3 linked regions of the Arabidopsis thaliana genome follow. The protein of the gene in region 1 interacts with the protein of each later gene in a biochemical or structural test. Each region holds a gene or a part of one and is shown on either strand. Other genes may lie near its edges.

Evidence for each region. Proteins that work in one complex are often made in the same cells at the same time.
Region 2: the proteins of IAA12 (region 1) and AFB3 form a complex in vitro, tested with the Arabidopsis thaliana proteins (one study listed by BioGRID).
Region 3: the proteins of IAA12 (region 1) and MP form a complex in vitro, tested with the Arabidopsis thaliana proteins (one study listed by BioGRID).

The regions. Positions count from the first base shown.
Region 1 is NC_003070.9:1,238,481-1,242,683, reverse strand, and holds IAA12 (AUX/IAA transcriptional regulator family protein), read right to left. Parts: upstream 2,391-4,203; 5' UTR 2,103-2,390; coding exon 1,900-2,102; intron 1,628-1,899; coding exon 1,341-1,627; coding exon of another isoform or gene 1,309-1,340; exon of another isoform or gene 1,260-1,308; coding exon 1,142-1,259; exon of another isoform or gene 1,069-1,141; coding exon 1,007-1,068; intron 924-1,006; coding exon 874-923; 3' UTR 527-873; downstream 1-526. Other genes in the region: AT1G04540 (Calcium-dependent lipid-binding (CaLB domain) family protein), read right to left, coding at 3,623-4,203.
Region 2 is NC_003070.9:4,368,241-4,372,942, forward strand, and holds AFB3 (auxin signaling F-box 3), read right to left. Parts: upstream 3,059-4,702; 5' UTR 2,843-3,058; intron 2,706-2,842; 5' UTR 2,541-2,705; coding exon 2,089-2,540; intron 2,013-2,088; coding exon 1,517-2,012; intron 1,425-1,516; coding exon 639-1,424; 3' UTR 520-638; downstream 1-519. Other genes in the region: AT1G12810 (proline-rich family protein), read left to right, coding at 232-280.
Region 3 is NC_003070.9:6,885,058-6,891,923, reverse strand, and holds MP (Transcriptional factor B3 family protein / auxin-responsive factor AUX/IAA-like protein), read right to left. Parts: upstream 5,256-6,866; 5' UTR 4,572-5,255; coding exon 4,439-4,571; intron 4,289-4,438; coding exon 4,173-4,288; intron 4,065-4,172; coding exon 3,966-4,064; intron 3,876-3,965; coding exon 3,819-3,875; intron 3,731-3,818; coding exon 3,575-3,730; intron 3,496-3,574; coding exon 3,411-3,495; intron 3,335-3,410; coding exon 3,244-3,334; intron 3,148-3,243; coding exon 2,983-3,147; intron 2,901-2,982; coding exon 2,778-2,900; intron 2,693-2,777; coding exon 2,481-2,692; intron 2,402-2,480; coding exon 1,248-2,401; intron 1,156-1,247; coding exon 965-1,155; intron 869-964; coding exon 742-868; 3' UTR 520-741; downstream 1-519. Other genes in the region: AT1G19860 (Zinc finger C-x8-C-x5-C-x3-H type family protein), read left to right, coding at 1-270. UniProt on the Arabidopsis thaliana protein: Auxin response factors (ARFs) are transcriptional factors that bind specifically to the DNA sequence 5'-TGTCTC-3' found in the auxin-responsive promoter elements (AuxREs). Seems to act as transcriptional activator.

The DNA.
Region 1 (4,203 bases):
CTTGAATTTTATCAAGGATCATGAATCTTCCTTCTTCCTTTCTCTACAAGACTTTAATTTACTGGTCTTTTGACTTTACTACTTATCCTTTAATCTTTGGTTGGACTTGCTAAGCACTGTATCTCCTTTTCTAGGTAACAAGTTAAATATTACCTAAACAATCCATAACCTTATTATATTTTGATTTGGTGACGTGAATCCAAACATTTGTTATTTTCTTTGTCTTCAACTATCAGATTAAGAATAAAATCTTTACTTTTCAAAGTTTATCAATTTAAAGTAGTTTGCAGTTTTAAAAGATAACTCTTAACGTATTTTGTGTGAATTTAAGAACAATTAAGGACAAAACTTTTGATGGTCAAAACTTTTCTTGTCATCAATCATCAATATATGATTTTGATGGTCTTAGAAACATCTTCTCTTCGACCAAAAAAAATAAACATCTTCTCTGTTTTTTTTAATGACACACTCTTCTCTGTTTCTGCAAAACGTTTTGACTCGAGTCAATGGAAACTTCAAAAAGACAGAAAACAACAAACCATATTAAGGAACAAATATTCATTCTTTGGAATCATAAACATAACTCTTATCACATTAATTAGATAACTTCAACTATTTACAATCTGAGAGAACAAATAAACAAGAGCTTTCTCTCACAGAACATAGATAATTGGTACACAGCCAAAGAAGAAACAAACTGGAAAACTACGAATTGAATGACCTAAGCAAAACCATATCCGAAAACCGGATTCAAATCATATCTAAGCTTCTGCATGCTTTTATCCATATTCTCCAAAATACTTTCTTCAAAAAGTATCGAGTAAATTGCAAACCTCAAACAATACATAAACAATGCCAGCTTTGGAAGGGAAGCTAAACAGGGTTGTTTCTTTGTCTATCCTTCTGCTCTTGACGTCTTGGAGCTGCATTAAAAATGATTCAATCAGTCTTTTTCATTAGTCAAGACGAGAAATCAAGAAACCAGAAGATGATCTTTAAAACTTACCTAGTCCACTAGCTTCTGAGGTTCCCATGATCCGAAGCCTTTTCACCGAGTTGATAAACATTCTAAACAAAAAGAGAGAAAAGAGACTAATCAGGTTTTGAACTACTGCAATACTGCTTAATATCCGAATCTTACCTCCATGGAACATCTCCAACAAGCATCCAATCCCCTTCCTTATCTTCATAAGTGAGTACAAAGTCTGATGATCCATCTAAAAGCCTTAAAGGTTTAACCTTTTCTCGACAAGTAGTACCTGATAGATAAAACAGAAACTATCAGTAGATTCATAGAAAACATCGGGTTTATAGTGTACGCATTTGAAAACAGTACAGACCTGTCATTCCAAAGAACATTTCCTCAAGCGTCTGAGCCAAGTTTTCGTAAGACGAATGAGCTCTCATATCCACTTTTCTGCCTATACCAACTCCATCCATATTCACCTTAACAAACCCTAAGCCCTGAACTTTCGGATTCACCTTCATTGACACATCTTTGAGCTCATCATTCTTCACAACTTTCTTCTCCCCGTCTCCTTCTTCCGCTCTTGCTGCCTTCATAGCTTGGTTATTAACCAAACTGTTCATCCTGTGTAACCCAATTGGTGGCCATCCTACCACTTGACTGCCACAACAAACCAAGAAATTTCCACTCAATGGCTCTCGAAATTCAGATGTAATCATCTAAACAGACATTAAAATGAACAAATCTTAGCATTTGCATGACTCCATAGAGAAATCTATAGCACAGGACAAGCACAAGCTCATCAATGGAGATAGATACCTAACTCTTATTCAGGGTAAACTAAAACAAAAGCACCTACACAATTCTGTCCTGAGATGGCATAACACTCACATCACAAGATTTGAGCTTTCTTAATAAGAAAAAGGACGAACCTTGAACGAGGAGGAGAAGCTCCTTGGTGAGAGGAAGATTCAGCAGAGCGTTTAGACCCAACGGAAGGAAAATCCTTAGCAGTAAGAATCCTCCCACGCTCTTTCCACGCGCCACCACCGAGGCTGAGCCCTAATCCCAATTCCAGCTCACTCTCCGCCGGAAGATTACTCTTCCCCACCTCCAATTCTGACACACCACGCATGTCAATAACAAAACCCTAGACTCCAATGATACCAGCAGAGAAAGTGTCTTTCAAATAACCCACACAAAAAAGAAGCTTGATGACACAGAGAGAATGGAGACAACAAGAAGAGAAAGAGTGTATTTAGGGTTTGAGAGAGACGAGAGAAAGAGATGATGAAAACAGAGTAAAAGAGAGAGAGAGAGAGGAGGATTTTGGTGGTGGAGAGAGTGATGAGAATTGGGACCCATATGTCTTGTAATGGCCATACCAATTTTTTCTAACCAAAAGTCTTCTCCTTTGTTATAAAATATTGTTTGTTTTCTCTCAAAACTTGTCTTCCGACATAATCAAACCTGTTGTGCTCTCGTTGGGATATCGTTGTTGTGTTTGGTTCAAGCAGCAAGAGAAAATAGAGAGTCCCAAGAAACTTGTTTACAGTTGTATGTGTGTGTGCAAGGTTTTGCTTTGTGTTGCTGTTGCATCATAATATAGTTCTTTTTTGTTTTCTTTTCCGCTTGTGGTTTTTTTCTTTTCTTAACCAAAAATTGTATTGCTTTAGCCTTTAGGATGAAGAGTCTCTGTTTTAAATACCATTTTTCTTTAATTTGGGCTAATCAAAAAATCTAAATTAACTTTTATATTTCATATACTATGTATTGGTTACATTGCTCCTAGATTTTAGACCTAATTTTAGTCTCTCTTTAACAGGTTGGCCATCATTCTTTATACTAGCAAACTCGTTTATGGTCATATGCCATTTGCATATTGACCATTTGATTATCTTTCTTTTCTAATAACTAAGATAATATATATTTTCAACTTTTTCCTTAGACCATGATTGTTGTCGAACAAGATTATAAAAGAAAGTGAGGGAAAAAAAATGGTGGGAAAAGATGCATTATTATAAAATCGTGGTGATGAGATATTCATCATTATGTTTGATGATCCTTTGAAAACTTTTGCAGGCGCAATTGGTTTGTGGAAATTACACTTTTGATCAAAATCATTATCAAGGAGTACATAGATTTCATGCTCTAATTGATGGATTTGATAGAAAATAAACTAAATAACCGGTTATATCATGTATGAATCAAATAAGTATACATAATACATGAAAGTATAGTTAGAAATGCAGAATTTGTATATTTATTTTAGTTTTTTTTAGATTAATGTTTATATCATTTTGTTTCTTTTTAATTTTAGTCACCATTGTCTACAATACCAACATTTGTTCACTCACTCTTAGATTTCATTTTTATATTTTTTTTATTCCACTCACTCTCTTACATTCATTCACAGTTTTCTAATTTTGTTGTGTGAGCTCACTTTCTATTAAACACTATATTATAAGAAGAACATTTTTTAATTTTTTAAAAATAAGGAAGAAGAAGAGGAATACACAAAAATAAATGATTTATTAACACAACATTAATAAATTAATTTTTGTTTACTATTTGATTAATTCATCAGCTCAGATCCTTAAAAAATATAGTTTTCCAAAAAAAATAAAAGTTAATATAAGACCAATAAAATAAAGATCACACAAAGCTCAGATCGTCAGCGGAATATGTGCGTTGCACACGTCCGGCTCCACCTTTCTTAGTAGATCCTTCTGAGACCATCGGCCCACCACCACCACCGCATACGAAACTGCATTCCACACCACAAATCTTACTAAAACACGAGAAAAGTCCATTACCTCCATCTGTGTGACGGCGGTTATGCTTTTTCGTCGTCGGAGTTTTCCGTCTTGAACTCATTCCTCCCCCGGCAGTTGCAGCTGGAACGCTCGCGCCATCGTAATCAGTGCTACTTATATGGCTTGATCCTATGTCGTACAACGGTGGAAGCTCTGTTCGCCATCTCTCGAGTTTTGATCGCAATCCTTCGATGCTAGATTCATCGATGCTCCATTCGCTGAGTATTGAACTTTCCGTTTCGTGCGATCTATCTTTCGCCAATTTGTCAGCCACTTCAGATGGCGATGGTCCTAACTCCGATTCAGTTAAGATTCGTCTTCCAGCTAAATTCCTCACTGGTGTACCAAAATCGTGATGAGTTCTCATCGGTGTAGCCATGTAGTTTGATCGGATCGGGGTTGATCCGACGATGTTTGATC
Region 2 (4,702 bases), 3.1 Mb from region 1:
CAGGATCTTTTACTTTTCAATGGATCTAGTGACTCTCTTAAGAACTACCTAATGGCTTTTATTTTACATTCTTAACCCCATAATATTTAGTATAAAGTTTGTAGATAAAATGTTATATCATCTGCAGCTTTTCTTTTAGTAAGAGATTTGTGATTGACCTCAAGTAGCCTAATCATGTTGCTTACAAATTGCGATTACGGAATCCTTTTTTTTGTGGGTTGCGAATTGCAGTCTTGCTGCTCTTTGCTGTTGCTGTTTGTTGGAGGAATGCTGCTTCTGAGAATGCCGCCAGTCTCTGTGGATCTCGTCGTTTACTGTCAGCATTATGTGTCTAATCGAAGACATATGCCATAACACTCTATGTCTTGTGTACTATCGTGTGTCAATGTCTGTTAATGTTTACCTCTTTGTTTGAGAGTGCACTCATCCAGAGCATGGATTAGACAAGTAGGTTTCTTGTGGATGTCATTGTAATTTGTATTATTTGGAAAACGTGATTGGTATTTTACCTAAATTTATGTTTTCAATGGCTGAATTACGGTGATAATAAAATGCGACATTTGTATTTGTTCCAAGTTTGATAAAAGGCAAAAACTAGTACAAAGAAAAGTTTGAAAACACATGAAGGTGCAAAGAGACTAAAGAATCCTAACATATGGTGGTGCATCTTTTCTAGTCCCAACCACTGTTCGGTAGAGGTAAAGTTTATCAACCTTCTCTCTTTCATCTTCTTCATTCTGTTCCATCCCATTATTCTCATTCTCGTTGATGATCTCTACGTTAAGCCGTGGCGAATTCTGCGCGAGCCTCTTGCAGCCACCGAGTGTTACTTCACAAGACGACATCCAAAGGGATCGCATTGTTTCGTACCTACCCACGTCAGCAAGAAGCGCAGCGTTCCCAAAAGGACTGTCCCTTATCTCCAGCTTCCTCATTTTTTTGCATCCATTCAACACATAGAGCATTCCTTTGTCAGTGTCCCCCGCAAAAGCTATCGAAAGCATCTCGAGCTGTTCCGCGTACATACCGATGTAGAGAAAGACTTGATCGGTTAAGAGACCGGAGACAGAGAGCCGTCTTAGACCCTTGCAAGCTTGTACGATTGCACCAAAGCCCTCGTCCAGTGATTGAAATGTAATGTGGTCAGGTTTGTGTGGCTCGAGAATGCATAGCCTGAACCGGATGAAGTTTGGACAGTTTTTGGCCACGGCTATGAGCGCTGCGTTTGTCATCTGTTTGCAGAAGTACAGAATCGAATGAAGTTTAGGGCAACCTGCGGAAATGGCGACTAGTCCAACCTCAGTCACAGATGCGTTGTTATCTTCTTCACCATGTACATCAGAGGGAAAAACTCTAAGCTCTTGTAACTCTTTACATGTGGCAGCGACAACCGCAAGTCCTTTGTCACCAATACTATCCAATATCTGTAGGAACCATAAAAACCATTTGTTGTCAGGTTAGCAAGTTAGTTTATTTTCTTCAGGACAGTGAAAAGAGAAAGTGAGAACAAACTTACCCATAATCGTTGAAGTCTCTTGCAAAGCTGAATAAGCTTAATGAGGTGGTTGCCTTGGATTTCAGCTGCATAGCTGAGGTTCAAAGAGATAAGGTTTTGGCAAATTGGGTAGAACGCTGGGAGGCAGAGTGGAGCAACCTCTAAAAAGCCAGACAAGCTCCTTAACGATGTGTATTTCTTAATGGCAGTCATGAGTTTTGCAAAAGATTCAGGATCTGGCTCATTCTCATAAGACCCTACTCCTAAGTCCACTAGCTGCGGCGCACAACTCATTAACCTTGCGAGTGCGTCAAGCGGTACTGCACGGTTTAACTTCAAGCTCTTCAGGTTTGGTGACCTAGCAACAAGCCTTTCTAAAGCAGCAACATTGGTCTCTCCTTTAAGGCAAGCGAAATTCAACGACATAAGAGTAGTGCAGCTATCTGGAAAACAGTTCAGCCATTGACCTCTATGATCATCAATCTCATTCTCTTGCAAGTCCAGCTCACGAAGATGCCTAATAAGAAAGACAACAACACATTTTAAAAACAACATAAAACCTAGAGAAACGCCAGTAAAAGAAAGGCCTTTACCTGCAATTAGCGGCAATGGAAGCTAAGCCATCAGTGGTAAACCCTTCACAGCTAACAAGAACCAAAGACTTGAAATTTGCAAAAGAACGTGAAAGAAGGTCCAAGCTTTCATCTGTTACAACCATCCGCTTCAACCTCAGCTCCTCAAGTCCCACACGGCTTCTAGCCAAAGCTTCAATCCAAGGATGCACGAAACCTCCCCATTCATGAGGAACCAAGTTGAAGTCTGCAAAATGAGGCTTCCCTTTTAAAGTTAAGGATTTGAGACATGGAAACCTCCTGATCAACCTCTCCGGGTTAATCGCGTAGCAGTTTCCGATGAACACTTCCTTCCTACTAAACCTCTCGATCTTGTGCCATGATTTGCAGACCAGAGATATCGAGTTCCTGTCTTTGTGAGAAGCTACGAAGTCAAACACGTGCTCTATAACCTCGTCTGGGAAATAATTCATCTTCCTCTATTGATTGTCGAACAGAGGAATTGACTTCAAGCTTAGCTCAGTGAAGAAAGCTTCGTGGTCCAGTGAGATCCACAACACTACCAGGTTCGAAATCGGAGGCTCACAAAATGGAGAAGCTTAGAAGAGCTCAAGAAAATCCACCGAAACCTGAAGAATCTGCAACAAAGCGAGATTCAAATTATACAAACTAATTTAGAAACAACAGATCCTGAAACTCGATAAACTAAACACAGAGATTAAGATTCAGATCTACAAGAAAGTAAATGAGCTAGATCTAGAAAGAGTTTCGAGACCTTGAGCTTATGAAGCTACTAAGATCGTCGTCGGAACCAAACTCGCTGATGATTCGATTGAAGAAAAACGTTGGAAAATGATGAATCTGGATAAAACTCTGGAGTTAGCTTCAAGTCCAATGATGATGAGATGATCAAAGATTTGGATGAGTGAGAGAGAGAAGAGAAGAGAGAGATCACGCAAGCCAAAAAAAACCAGAAACTCTGTAATGGAACAATTTAATCAAGAGGAGAGAAGCTTTAACCTAGCTGACCAAAAAACTAACCATGGTTAAGTTAAAGCTTGTTGGGTGTTGGATGATCCAACGGAGGAGAATGGTTCAATGGATAGCATAAAAAGGAATCTTGACCGTTGAGGAGTGGTATGGTTAATTGGTTATGGCATGTGTTGCTCACCACTGGTTTACGAGACCTTTCGCCAAAGAGAAAGGGTGAAGTGATGCATTAGTGTCAGAGCAAGGGACATGTACAATGCCCTTGTCTTTTTATGTTATTACTAAATTGCCATGTAAAAGCTTTCATGGCCAATAGGAAAATATAATATGTTCCATACTGAATTAATTTATTATTGGTTTTAATCGTTTTTGATTACGTATAATCAATCTTTCACGGTTGTTAGAAAGTGCAACAATGTGAAAAGTATTCGTGAAAATGATATTTGATGTGTATTAATATTTATTGGTTAATCTAATATAATACGGTATTTTTAATTCGTTAAAAAGTACAATAAGAAGAAACTAAATAATATCCAACGTACTGTCGTATCGTACTGCATCAAATACGTATGTTGTTATTCCCACATCATGTTATTTTTTTTGTCAAAAATTTGTTATCCCCATTTTAGACACTTATTTCGTTAATTTATAGTCAAATAAACTCGTAATTTTAGTTAACTGTGGAATAAACGAAAAGAAGAGAAGCAAATTTGTCGTTGGGACGATGACACCTTTTACGGAATTAGAAGTTGATGAGATTTTTTTTATTTTTTTATGTTTTCATAACCAAACAAATCCAAAAGCTAATCAAACTCCCATCTTTTTCAAAAGAAGGTAGTTATGGGTAGGGTTCCATCTCGATTAATTCGTAACTCTATTGAAAACAAACAAGTTTACTATTCAAACAATAAAAAGATTTTTAAGTAGTACATTTTGTTTCGATTTGTCATATACTGTATATTTAAGACAAATTCTAAAAATCATCGTTTAATTGTGTTTTACTGCCTAAATTCAGAATTTATAATATTTATATTAGTTTTTTTTTATATATATCTACTAGATAAATAAACCAAAAAAAAATCATTAAGAAAAAAAGAATATAAAAGGAGCAAAAAGGTGGCATAATCAAACTCAATAATAGACCCACTTGCAGATTATTACATGGAGAAAAGGGGAAGAACGAAGAGTACACAAACAAAATCATTGTTACTACTCGTTGAGACTCGAAAGATTAGAGTCATTTCTCTAGCACACCATTAATTTAGTAGTTTTGAAAATAAATGGCACTAATTATTGGTCAAGTACTTACTATCACATACTATCAACTAATAATCTTTCATAATCCTCTAAACATTTCCCTAATTGCTACTCGTATGTAGAAACAAGTTTAAGTCCTTTGTTGTATCTTCATACTCTCTGGAAAATCAACACTTGTCTTGGTAAAAGTAAATTATTTTTTAATCCAAAAAAGTTATATAGTGATGATTTCACCTCTCTCTTGACCCATCATATGCTACAATGGCTGCCATGTGAATGCCACCTTTTAGTAATCATCTCCATTTTCACCATCGATAGCCCCAAATATTTCACCATTATCTTGGTTTCAGTTGACTCGGATAATGCCTGAATTATTGGATTTTACTGT
Region 3 (6,866 bases), 5.6 Mb from region 1:
CATCTCGGTTATCGATACAACCTCCAACCTGGAGGAGGACCTAACCCGGAGATGGTAAATAGCAGTAATAATAACCAGAGGCCAAGGGATTCAAAACCCAAGATAATGAAGGCTTGCATGTACTTCAACAGCGCAAGGGGTTGTCGCCATGGAGCTAATTGTATGTACCAGCACGATGCTACACCCTACCAGCCGAGGAATCTAAACAATGGTAATATCAACACTTCTGATATGCAGAATGCAAAAAGAATGAGATTTGACAGAGACTGATGCAGAATTAGCATACCACACATGCTCTCTGCCTCTTGCTGTTAGCAGCAGAGCAATTTTTCTATTTTCTCTTGCCTGGCTTTACTGCAATATAAGTTTTATATACATTTGAAATTATTTCTTGGTTTTATGCCACAAATGTAGAATTAATTAGCGAGTATTATTTGGCTCACCATCACAGTAGTACTTATACTATCCCTAGTGTTTTTAAGATGATTTTCTACACTTTTATCTTTAACATTGTGCAGAAAAAAGAGTAAAATAATCACAAGATTTCTAAGACTGTCTCAACTACTGATTCATTCATCACTCTACTACATAATATGAATATAGTTTCAGGTCTCAAATCGGAACAACACATCAAATGCTTACAACAAGATGGTTTCTCCTCTACCAGTTGGAGAAAAGAACATTTCTTACTCTCTTTTTTTTCTTACAAATCAGCATGAGATCATTTTTATATTGTTACATTTATGAAACAGAAGTCTTAAGATCGTTAATGCCTGCGCTGTTCAAAAGCTTCATCCCTTCTTCACTCATCTGCTGGACCTCAGTTGGCGACAATATCCTTATGCACCTTACGCATCCCACAAACTCTCTGCACCAGTTTATGTAGTTATGTAAGGAAAACTATTGTAAGACTGATAGTCAGATGAAGTTAATGGATTCACAGAACAGTGAGAGAGAGACTTACTCCCATGGATCATCTCCTACAAGCAGAACATCACTCTCATAATCAACATATACAAGCTTCCAACCCGAGCTTTGTGGGTGAGTTAGTAGTCCTTCCAATCCAAACATGCATTCGATAGCAGATTTTAGCTCCTCGTAGTCTTTAAAGCTTGTGACATCAATTGATCTCCCGACTGACCCGGTTTTTTGAACCTGCCAAGTCAAAACATTACCCAAACCCCAAAGTTTCATGTCAGATTGTGACACAAGAAATTTGTGGAATGAATGAGAGATAATCTTTTTACCTTAGTGTAGGTTCGGACGCGGGGTGTCGCAATTTTCTGCCATGATGAGCCTTTACTATTTTGCCGCAGACTACAATCATCAAAATCAACATTGCTTGAAGATGTACCAGTGCCTCCAGAATTATCTGGAAAATCTTGGCGAGAGAAGGCCTGTGAGTCTGCAAAGCTAGCTGATGTGATCTGCGACTGGACATCTTGAGCAAAGCTAGTGTTGTTGTTTCCAACCAAACAACCAGAAGGGTGGTTCTGGAAATCAGTGTCTTTGATGGCACAGAAGTCATCAAGGACTGTGTTTGAGAGTGGAGGATCTAGAATGTTACTGGTTGTGCTATTACTCATACAGATATTCTGACTAGCATAAAGGTCCTGCTGCATCAAGGGACTGAACTGGTCAAACTTGAGACCGTTCAACTGAGTGTCCCACACATCATGAAACAGCGGTGAGTTTGTGGAATCCGGTAACACAACAGCTGAAGAATCCTGGGAGGATAGAATGAATGGTTGCTTGTATGATCCGGCAAGAGACTGGAAGGAAGAGACTTGTGATGTCAGCTCATCAGTTTCCAGGAAAGAGAATCCATTTATTGGATCAGACTGTGGTTGGTAAATCTGATGAGTAATGTCAAGACATTGATCAGCTTGTACAGGCGACGAAGCACCCGGTTTCTGAAGTAGCTGATTAACCTTTTCCTCATTACACACTGTGGATGTAGTAACCTGGCTTGCCTGTTCCATTGACTGCTCAAGTCCATGTTGGACTCTACCAGAGCTGCAACCAGAGAGTGTAGAGTTCTCAGGTTTAGCAGGAGCACTCATACTCTGTGAAAGATTCTGTTCTTGGCCACTCGTATTAGAAGCAGATGGGTTCACTGTTAGCTTGTTTTGTGGCTGCACCATCTCAGATTTCTGGTTCATCATCAGGGGTTGCTGCATCTTCATATCTCCTAGCAAACCTCCATTCCCCATTACAATATTCTGCTGCATCTCAGACATGAAAGATGGTACATTTTGGTTGTTGTGAGGCCTCATCATCATTTTCATAAGCTGCTCCGAAGCCATACTAGGGAAAGATGCATATGGCATAATCCCATTCGCGGAATCAGGAACACGTATAAGTGGCCGTTTTATCAAGCTACCCCATTCAGTTTCACCAGCTGCATATTTCATAACAAAACTTTAAGGCAGCAAATCTCATGTAAAGTTCACAACAAGGCACACTTATATTTTACTCACCAAAGTAAGATGGATGGAGCTGACGTTTGAGTCCTGAGGTCAGAGAAGGAAAAATGAAGAGACTTTCAGGTGTTTCGATATCCCATGGACTGACCCGAGTAGGTTTATCATTACATCCAGGCTCATCCCATTCTACCTGAAGGTTACGCCACTTAGAACCAGGCCATCTCAACGGATCCAAATCGCTGATTCCAACAATAGTTCCCATGTACCTAAATACACAACCAAAACGTGTATAAGTGAACAACCAAATTTGATAAACAAAAACAGAAAGATTGCAGTTTACGGATAACTTACCTTCGTTTCCCGGAATCTTCAGTTTCAAACATCATTCCAAATCTCATACCAACTGAGAGCTGAGACCCGCATATCGCCTTACGGTACTTAGCTAGAGGGATCACGAACTCTGCTGGACAAGCTCTGAGAACAAACACCATAAGTTACGTTACAACTAAGAAAATAGTTTTATATCATTGAGGATTGAAGAAGCTTTTGAGCTAACCTTGGATTATAGAATATCAAAAAAGGAGTACGGTTGGCGGTTGCGTGAGCAGCAGCAGCAAGAACACCGATGTGCATACTATCCGCTGAGAGAACTGATGAAGGAAGTGCTGTTTGTTGGCGATTGGCACGCCTAACACCGACCATAAGTTGTGACTTCTCATCCCTTTTGGCACATTTTCAAAGGACAAATGACAGTCAGAAGATAAGCAACACCAAAATGAGTCAGAGCCAAAATATCTCAATAGCCAAGGTTTTTCACCTGATGAACAAAACAGAATCCCCAGCTCTCAATCTCTTCGATCCAACGAACAAACTCCATCCTGTAGTTAGGAGATGTCTCTTTGGTTGCCCTGAGAATGTAAGCAGGAACTGAGCTCAATACCAACTCAATCTAAACAGAGAAAGAGACAAATCTAGTGGTTATACCTCGGTAGATATGGCGAAATGTCCAAGTATTCTCATGAAGATCTCGAACTACAAGCTCTTGCGTTGGCGGCTGTGCTGAGTAGTCCTGCAATGTATTTAACATAACATTAGCAGGCTAGCAGCAGTTAAAGCAATAGGAACATATGAGGAAAAGAGAAGCTCACCAATGGTGGAAATAGCTTCTCTGCAGCTCTACGTGGCACTGAGAAACCTCCATGTGTGCTTGTGTCACTTGCAGTAAGTGTTTTGCAGAAAAACTCAGTCGGGTGCTTACTTCCTCTCAGCATTCCAAAGTCTGGTACAGGGAACACATCTCTCTCCTGATGCACACAAACCATTCAAACTCATTCAACTTCAACATGAGTTCTTAAATGAAACAAAAGGAAGTTGCAAGAATCCAAAACTTACAGAGTGAACAGGTTGAAGACTCATCTGAGCATAGATTTCGTCACTGTCTTTGTCAGCCTATCAAAGGGGAACAAAACCATTGTCAAGAAATATCAAACTTGGTTGCAATTTGTTTGGATACGAAGCAAATGAGAAAGATTGGCGTACATGAAGAGTAACATTATGGACTTGACACATCAACTGAGATGGAAGGTTCGGATAATTAGGAACTTGTGTTGTTGCTGATCTTCTGGTTGAAACAGCAACCTAATAAGTCAAAAAGTGAACAAAAAAAATCAAACCTTTTGAACAGGAGCTAACAAGATCTAGAGAAGTACAATGTGTTTGTTTGTTCTTTAAGACACACAAAGTTACCTGCTCGCTATGACCTTGTGAGAAGTAATACACTAAGCTCCCAACTTGAGGGAGACACACCAAAGGGCCTGCACAAGCGTGCCATAGCTCCGAGTTTATTACCGGCTTTCTTGTACCTGAAAAATGTTCAAAATCGCATTTTTAGGGGAAAGTAACAAAATTTCTAAATGTCATTAGCATAAATTATGAAACCTTTTGTTATCACAGTTTATTCTTAAAAAGGTAACTTTTTTAATAAAAATCTTGAGAAAGAAGAAGATGAAAACCTGACTGGTCTTTCAACAGCTTCATCTCTTCAAGCAAGGTAGATTGAGATGTTGTTGTTGTTATAGTTCCTCCACCATTAACCAAACAACTTGTTTTCATCTTGTCTTCAACACAAGACAATGAAGCCATCATACAGAGAGATTTTTCAATGTTCTGTTTTGTCTCTCCCACACTCAACACTAACTAGGCTTTAGCAAGACTCAAGAGTTTTTCTTTTTCTTTACTAAGTCTTCATTTTATTTTATTTAATACAAGAAGAGACAAAAAGAGCTCTATTGAGCAAAGAGGCTACAAGAAGATAAATCCAGGACAAACCAGAGGAATTAAAGACAAAGCCATTTCATGGAATCTGTTTTTTTTTGGTTAAAGAAGACTCCAAAATCGAAGGACAAAACCCTTACACATGACAAAAACAGAGTGGGAGAGATTAAAGAACATACAAAATAGGGACTACACAGACAAGCATGTCTCTCTTGTGGGGCTCTTGCCTCTTCTCTTTCTCTCTCTCCACTCTTCTTTTCTCAGACCAAATTCGACCCTTCAATGAAGAAGAGAAACCAAAGGTGCCATCATGAAACCACACAGTTTCTTTCTTTGGTTCCGGATGCAAACAAGAACAAGAAGCAATTGAGAGAGAGACAAAAGCTTTTAAGAAAAAAAAAACTTTTGCTTTCTTTTAATTATTTCTCTGAAAAATCCCACATTTTTTCTTCTTCTCTCTCTAATGTATATGAGTATTAGTATAAATGTGTATGTATAGGTTTTATTTTGCTTGGAAATGGGAAAGAGTGTGCATGCTCTTATCCTGCGCTTAAAACTTTCTGTATATGGCGATGCCGTTGCAGCTTTAGACTCTTTAAACGAATAATATTATATTTTATTGTTTCCCATTAATTATAAAATAAAGTTTTGGTATTTCAATAGATACATCTATATTATTATTTAATGTTTTAGAACAGTTTACGTCAAAAATTTAATAAAGTAGAGTAAGCACACGTAATCTCTGATACGCACAGAAACGTAGTTGAATGTACAAGTACTTTCAATGCTTATGTTATAAGGCAGATAATAAAGCTTAAAATAAGTACCATGAGTGAATATTATTTTAAAAAGTGTCCTACTTTTTCAAGAACTTTGTAAAATATAAAATGTTTTTTGATTATGGCAATAAATTAAAATTGATTAAGAACTTTATGACAAAGGAGGAGGCTTCTTTTTTCGTTGCAATAATATATACTTTTCTCAAAATGTTAATCTTTTCTTGCTGAGATTTCGTAAAAGGGATGTGAGTGGTGAGACTTTGGGAGATCTCTAATACAAGGTGCGTATGATAGGAGAGAATGTCAAAATAGCGTATATTAGCACGAAGCCTAAAGAGGTTACGGGAGGAAGTGTATCTTCCAATCTTTTTTGCCCGGGTGTTCTTTTCCTTTCCAAGTTAAGGACTTCAAAAATGTTTTCTTTCTTTGGTTAGAAAAAGTTATTTTGATATTTGCAAGATTTGGTATAGAGATTAAAAAAGATTTAAGTATGGTTTAGTTAAAACTTAAAAGTTATAAGGTGGTATTGTTTATATATACTTAAGAGTTAAGACCACCTCCAAATAAATTGAAAGGACTGTTGTTTGTGGTTCTTGCATTTGTATTGAAATTGAGCTTTGTAAAATATATTTGTATCTACAACAACCAAAAGAAAGGAATATCTTGGTTCTCTGCACCTGTAAACATAGCTTGTTCTGCTCATTATTAATATCTAATACTCTAAACCACATGTGTAATTATGTCTAATTGTGTATAGTGTGTACCATTACATCTTTAGACCTTTTTAGTTACATACATTTTTTTTTTTTACGCACACATCTCTAGTTTGACCTTTCCATTGTTTTCTTGCGACGAAATAATTGACATGCGGTCATTGTATTATATTGTATGATATGAAACCATATCACTTTCCATATCATTACTTATCAATCATACGTAAATAAAAATCGCTTTCCTTCATGTAATATTACTCATAAACAAAATACAAATGAGCATAGTTAAGTTATATATAGGATTAGTACACAATCCACATTATCACATATTAGAGAAAAATAATCAAACATATTATAATTTATAAGTGGATATATAGTAGCATCATTATGATAGAATATCTATATAAACATAACTACTTATTCGGATACGCGTTTGTCACTAAGATATATTTGAATCAAAGGATCTCCAATCAAGTATATAATGTGTGGAATTTGCTGTTGGCAGCACATTTTAATATACAGTTCAAATTTAGCAAGGAGTGAAACATGCTTTTGATGATAATGGAAAAACTCTCATTTCCGGTGCCAAGATTGTGTGCCATCAGCAAAATCTTTGGAACAAATAGTCATTACGTATAACGAGGAATAACATCCCACGATGAGGTTTACTAGAT